2 linked regions of the Mus musculus genome follow. The protein of the gene in region 1 interacts with the protein of each later gene in a pairwise test. Links are inferred from orthologs where the notes say so. Each region holds a gene or a part of one and is shown on either strand. Other genes may lie near its edges.

Region 1 (3,652 bases):
CACAAAGTCTCTGCAAAGTTTTCTTCATTATGTTCTTCACTTACAGTGTAAGATGTTCATCTGCATTGTAGACAGCCATTGCAACACTCAGCCAGTTGCAAGGACTTTTTGCTCTAAAAAGGTGGAAATTACCATATAACAAGGATATATAAGACAGTTATTTCCTTTCCACACCTAGAGATAGGTATCCCACATGCCCTATTGCATTTTCATAATTATTTGGGTACCAGACTCCTGTCTTCTGGCTGTGCCGTTCCCTGTATATGGCTTTCTTGTAGTACAAGGTTTCTAACCAGGCTTCAGTCATCCCACCCAATTTCTAGCCAGAGGGAAGAGGGAAGGTGATTTCTGTCAGTGAGTGCTGTGTACCTGTGGGTCATGCTTTGCCTGGCCCAGGATCTGTGGCAGGATCCAATTTGCCCAGCATATCACCAAAGGGCACTGAGTGGTTGTCCAATTTGGGCTACTGTGAGTCAAGCTGCCATACCTTCAGGTATGATTGTGAGAATGCAGGTCATGTCTGCTAGGACAAAGGACCCAAGTATGGCAGCTGGCATGCTGTAAGGATGTAGAACAGTATAGAGTACCCCTGATTACTGTCCATGCCATGCCACAGGGTCAAGGTCCTTACTTAACACCATTTCCTACTGTCTGGGGGACTCTTCTACCACTGTGTTCTGTTTTTGCACCTAGCCCTCCTCTCTGAGTTCCATTAGCCTGCCTACTCCTTGCTCCTCCTCTCCTCCCATTCCCCACTCTTCTCCACAGAGCCTAAGAATCAAGACTTCTGATCTCTTCCTGCTTGCTTACTACTATGCCCTCAGTGGGAATTTTCCCTTCCAGTTTTCATGTCTTGAAGCCCTGTGTTTCAACTTTGCTACTTCACACCTACCACATGACCTTCAACATGACAATCTCAGTTTCTTTCTTGGCTGATGGCAGCCCATCCCACAGTCAGCCTGAGTCTCCCATGAGTCAGAAGCTCTATTCTACTCACAGAGCCTTACCTCCTTGTAACTGATTAAACAGAAGTGACAAGTACCCAAGGACTACAGACACACACTGGGCTCAGGCTGGAATGATTGTCCCAGTGACTCTGCAGCTACTGGGGAGCAGGGCTGTAGGTTCACTACATGCTAAATCCCATGCCTGGCAGACTTAGAAGACTGAGTAGTAGGCTATGTGAAGGTTAAGTTCAGATATGGGTTTCATTGCCCTCTGGGTCTGAGGCAACATCTGCAATGGGTCAAAAGACCCACCCTTTGAGGCCATAGTGCCACCAAGAACAAGCTCACCATTCTTCCCAGTGAAGCAAATCTCTAGGCTAACCATTCAGACCATCCATAAGAGCAGGTGCCAGGTGCCTTGAGGTTTCAACCCCCGACTGGTTCTACCCTGTCAACTCCTGAAGCTCTTTAGATTTGTTTTAAAGAACGTTTTTAAGCTGTCTTCAGTGCAAAGTCTGAATTAATTTTGATACAAGCAGAAATCATATGAACACACTCCAGGTAACAGAGGAACCCAATATATTTGAACAAACATGAATCACAGAAACTGCTCAGAGCTGCTAACCACCAACCACAAGCTCTAGACAGGCATTGTGGGTGAGGATAGCATGCCCTTTTTTCTATATGCCAGGTAGCATCCAGCATAATCACTGCCAGGTGCCCACAGTTGTATTTCCAATGAACTGGCTGTGATGCAAGTCAAGAAAATACAGAGTAAGCCCATCTCTACACATCCTGTCCAGGCCAGGCAGAGTGACAGGCCACACAAGACCAGGTGGTATTTAGACCCACTGTGGCCAGAGGCTGAGGAACATGACTACTGTTGTGTGCTGACTCAGACGACAGCGTGAGGCTGCATGGCCCATGCTCTGGAGTTCCCTACTCCCCCATAAAGCTTGGCCAACTATTAATAGGGACATATGACACTACCTTCTCATGGATCTCCTGTGTGGACTGTGCATCACAGAAGGCTACTGTGGCCACATCCTTCAGGATAGGCATCTCCACTGTGCAGTCCCGGCCATCCAGCAGCGCCACCAGGGGCCGGGGGTGCATGGGCCCGTTCATGATGGGAGGTCGGACGCCTGCAAGAGAGGAGCAGACCACTTAATGTCCTCAGCAGCACCAGTCTGTGACCAGAGAACTGTACTACCCACTCGAGTTGGAGAGGTCAGCCCTGAGAATTTGCTGCACTCAGCATCTGGTTACATGAGGCTTTGTAAAAAGCAAATTAAAACTGCAAAGAAGAAAATAGAGTTGGCTATAGCTTACTGATGACTGAGTAGATTCAGACCATCAATCCCTCAAGAGCATAGGAGCTGAAATCCTTGTAGACCCTAGGGAGGTTGTGGTAGACAGGAGGACGGGGAGGTAGGAAGCACCTCAGCCTGGCTCCCTACAGCCATAAGCTATCTTAGCAACACAGGTATGTGCAGATCACAAAATGATGGGAAGTACCTGCTTGCTCTTTGATGCCTAAAACCACCATGTGTCTTGTCTGCCCAGAACCCCACAGCGACCACAGAGTGATGTTTAGCATGTGACCTTAACTGTTATCATTCCTAGTGGTAGATTTCAAAGGCCAAAAATCAGTGCAATAGTAAAGAAAAAAAAGGGGGGGGGGGTGAGGGTAGGGGTAATGACACTCTAAGAACCCACCTCCCGGATCAAAGTAAGAAAGAACCTTAGACCTGGAGTGCCACTCAGGAGAAAAGCACTTGCCTAGTGGGTGTGAGGCCCTGGGTCTGATTCTTAGCTCCACCAAAGCCTTTGTGGATAAAAAAATCAATTTGTTCCCAACATGACACACTAAACTAGACCCCACTTGGGGCCAAATACAGGAACAAGGATTTCCCAGGTACTGTCTGGCCACCTTCAGCTGGGCAGCAGATACCTTAAGAAGGCTAAAGGTAGGTTCATGGTAGCACGTAGTATGAGGCAGGGCTTTGCCCATCCCTTCCAAAAGCTAACCAAAAGAATGGACCAAGGCACAGTGGGGAGTGGAGGACAAGAAACAAGTCACCACACAGTCTTGCACTGAGCAGGCCAGAGGGAGCCCTGCAATAGCTGCTGGCTAGCAGCAGCCTGTGCAGTCCACACTCACCTTTCTTGCCTGCAGGTACAGAGGCTAGCCCAAACTTCCAGTGCCAAGAAGTGCCTCAGAGAATCCATGTCACAGAAAGACAATGCTCTAGGGATTGCCACACCCATTTTACAGCAAGGCTCTAAGGCTCCCAGGCCTGAAAGTGGGTACCTGGGCTGTGACACAGGTCTCACTGACCACGCAGAGGATAATGGAGCTACCTTCTAGACAACACTAAGCCCAAGATCTCCAGCTGTGGGACAGAGGTGTTGCTGCACAGAGCCCTTCCCCAGAGTCAACGTGCCTGAGAAGACACAGCTATACCCATCCATGCCTTCATAAACAGTAAAAATAAAGGTGCTGAGAGAAGATGGACCCAACCCTCAAGATGGGATGTGCAAGGTCACAGGCTCAGCATTTGCATCCCCCCCTTCCTTGATCTCTAAGGACCACATCGCTATCACCAGGCAACAGAGGTGGACAAATGCAACAATCCAATCATTCTCCAACTTGGACTTGCAAAGTGACTTTTCTCACATAAAAGTGTTACTTCTTGTAGCAG
Region 2 (3,652 bases), on another chromosome or scaffold:
TCTACAGCCATGCACAGGGTTTGCTTAGGGGCTTTTTCTAAAGGGGGGCTCATGTCTACCGAGCAAGGCTGAGGAGCTAGGCAGGGCAGAGGGAAGTGAAAGCAGATGAAACGGGGAGCACACAGCATCCAGCTACCATCTCTGCCCCAGAAACAGGAAGACAGTAGCCAGGAAAGGTGGCAGATGGGAGAGAGGGATGGGTGAGGAGGTATGGAGGGAAAGTGGAAACACCAGCTCCTTGTCCTCCAATTGCTGCAGGAGGGCCCTAGCCTGCTGAGCTCAGCCTTGGCCCTGTGCTGAAATTCCAGCTGTGTATGCAGCCCAGCCCGCTCCATGCCAGTCATGTGCCAGCTCCAGGCTGGGCAGGGCAATGGGGCACATGGCAGCATATGCACCAGAATCCAGAAAGTGCAAAGGCCTAGCTGTCTGCTTGGTCCAGGAGCACAAGAGCTGTCAAAACCAGCCCCACTCAGCTTCAGCCTCTAGTTCCTAAAGGCCACAGACCCCATTGAGGAGTACCTGTGGACAAGGCTTGCTGCTTGGCACAGAGGAGCCAGGGAAGTAACCAGATTCAGACGGCCAAGCCTACATGCCTGACAACAGCCAGTGGCTGGCTTGGCAGTTTGCCTCAGGAGACCTGTAGCAAGGAAGGATGGGTGCTGGTCAGCTACCTGGCTCTGAACTCCAGCTGAGCGACTTTAGACAGCTGTGGTTCTCACCTTAAAGTGGGGCTCATATGTCCCTGCTTTATGGCTGTAGCTTTTACATGGCTCAGACTTAGGAGGTGAAATTGGAAAGGGCTAATGGTAGAGCCGGGCACACATGGAAGTTCAGCACCACGGCAGGTTCAGCGATAAGCAAATGCAGTCTTCTCAATCCCAAGGAGACCCTAGTCCCAGACGGATGGTTCTCCCTTTTGTAGCCTCACTTAGAAAGACCCTCAGCCTGGCTTCCTTCCTCACAGGCACATACACTGACTAGCAGGAGGAATGGGAAGACAGGGTGGCCATGCTGTGCCCCTCAGCCTCTTTCCTCACTGCTCGGAGGCTCCCGGCAGAGGGAGAGGCAGATCCTAAAGAGAGGCAGCTCAGTGACTGAGGGCACTGGCTGCCCTTCCAAAAGCAATCCCATGGCAACTTACAGCTGTCTGTGACTCCAGGCCCAGGGGACCCAGTGTTGTCTTCCGGCCTCCATGGGTACAGCACTCATATGGTACACAGACACATGAAGAGCAAGGAGCCAAATACCCATCCAGGACAAAGACCGTCAACTGAGGACAAAGGTTTCTGGAATTTGGGATTTTGTGAATTGGGACACATGGGGAAATAATACCTATACATACAGGCCACCTCCACTACAGCCCAAGGCTGTCTACACAAGGATACAAGCTGCCTGCTACTTAGGCGTGACCCTGTACAGGTGACTTGAGGTTCTGGGTCTGTTTCTTTAAGTAGGAAATGGCCCATTGTGCCTTAGTCACAAGATGGCCTCTGGTGCTCAGCTGAGAATAAAATGTCTGGCTTGTGGGCTCAGAGCTGTGCTCGGGCCATGGGTGCAGACTTACATGTAGAGCCAATGGGACAGAAGCCTCTGCGTAGCAGGCTCCTCCTGAAGTTAGGGCTGCTGCTGTCCATAGCCCTGCTCTCCACTTCACTGATGTGGACTATTTCTCTAGTAGTTGTTCCACTCCTTTCTGCCCTCCTAAAGGTGGCCAGTATAGACTCTCCCTTTCCATGGAACCCAGCCTTCAGTGTCCAGAGCTAGCACATCTTCACTGAGTCCTCCAGTGTCCTTGTTCTATCAAAGCTGGTCTTGGAGGCATTTCTCCTTTTGTACATATCTTTTTGCCTTTAGCCTCTTCACCCCAAATCCAGCTGTGACCTTCTGAAGGTATGAAGCAGGTCCTCAGACCCAGAGCCTCTGGCGAACTCACAGGGCTAGCTTACAGTGCTGTGGTAACCTGGCTAAGCTCACACAGCAAGCATCTAGGGCAGGCTGGCAAGCGCTCTGTGCCATGCTGTGGAGGCACTGGCCCCTGCGATTCTTATTATCTGTGCTCCCCCAGCAGGCTACAAGGGGCTGAAACTGGGGAGAGGAGGGCTTCCTCTCTGTCCTGCCCATCTCCTTTTCTCTCCCTCCCTCCCTCCCTTCAACCTGCTTCTTCTTTGTGCTCTGACCGCAGAACCCGCCCCTCACCCTGAGAGCCATCTCTGGCTGCCTTGCCCTTGCCCCATGCCCCCCTGGATCCCCAAAGGCCGCTTCATCACGCCTCAGCTCCCAGCCCCGCCTCCCGCCCAACATGTGCGGAGCCCATGGCCTCCTGCCAAAGCCTGGGGCTGCCAGCAGAGGCAGAGACAGAAATCTCACCGCTCGGTAGGTTTTCTTCTGCCCAGCGTGCTTGGGGGCTTTGCCTGGCTCTGCAGAGCTCTCCACGTGCATCGAGTAGATGATGTCAAAGAAATCTTCCACCACAGCAACGCGTTTCAGAGAGATGCCCTCGGGCTCCGACAGGCCATCTGCCCCCTGTGACAGGGTGGACAAGCTGTGTTAGTGTCAGGGTTGATGGAGGGTGAGAGCTGGGCCCAGAGGCCAGGCCACAGGTCGGGGAGGGGGGCAGGGTCTTTGCTGCTCCCCTGGCCCAGCACAGCCTCTAACAGTTCCAGTTAGGAGGTGGGGAGGAGAGGAAACCCACTGGATCTGGGGAGAGGGTACAAAAGTCAGTGTGGCTGAGGAGGCTACAAAACCTACCAGCAACAATGGGCAGAGAAACACGACAACACAAGAACAAATTAGGAAACCAAGAGGTTCCATGTTCACAATTCAGACAGATTGTGCCAGACTCCCAGAGAGCTCTCGAATCACATGCTGTGCCAAGACCATCCTAGAAGTCTCTGGGGAGGGGGAGTGCTAAATAGATGCGGCCCCATCAGGAGCTTGCCAATTAGCAGTAACCTTTCACTGTGGTCCTGGTTGGGGTCCCAGGAGACCGGCTACCATCACCTAGGTGGCTCCTGCCTTTGCCCAGGCCTTTCTAAGAAGCTTTTCATCACTGTCCTTCCCTATCCCAGCAGCTGAATGCCAGCCACAGTGCCCAGGCTCTTTGTATGGGGAGAAGCACAGAAAAACAGGCTGGAGGGCATGGAGATGTGGCAGGGCTGGAAGCCTGGTGGTCATGGGCCCCAAGCCTCTTATTAGACTGTCAGCTGGCTCAACAAGGTGTGCCAAGATGGAGGCTGAGTTCTTTGCAGCAAAGAGCTGTGGAAGGCACCAGTGCCCCATTCCCAACCCTGGTGAGGAAAGAGGCCAAAGGGAGACTCCAGGGCATGAGTTGTAGGTGGGGCCAGTAGTGCTCCATGAAAGTGTTTCCTGGTCCACAGAGATCTGGGGACACCAGTTCTCCCCTATCATACCTCATGGGCAGACTGGGAAGACTTTAGGGAGCTTCAGAGAACAAATAGTATGGGCACCCATGCCCAAAGCACAACTCCCAAGATAATCCTTCCCCAGCGGATGCAGGACAAGGACAACAGCCCCAGGGAGGTGTGGACTTCACACCTGGCACATGCTAGGTGATTGACAAACAACTGCTGCTGGGCAGGTAGTAGGTTAGCATGTCATTGAGACATGTTGGGAATGGGTGTGATGGTGCATG

The links.
Region 2: the proteins of Ctbp1 (region 1) and Nol4l interact in binary tests that used the Homo sapiens proteins (3 or more experiments, as listed by UniProt). The link is inferred for Mus musculus from reciprocal best matches to the Homo sapiens genes CTBP1 and NOL4L.

Annotation. Positions count from the first base shown.
Region 1 is NC_000071.6:33,264,946-33,268,597, forward strand, and holds part of Ctbp1 (C-terminal-binding protein 1), read right to left. Parts: intron 2,093-3,652; coding exon 1,938-2,092; intron 1-1,937. UniProt on the Homo sapiens protein: Corepressor targeting diverse transcription regulators such as GLIS2 or BCL6. Has dehydrogenase activity. Involved in controlling the equilibrium between tubular and stacked structures in the Golgi complex.
Region 2 is NC_000068.7:153,481,320-153,484,971, forward strand, and holds part of Nol4l (nucleolar protein 4-like), read right to left. Parts: intron 2,524-3,652; coding exon 2,368-2,523; intron 1-2,367.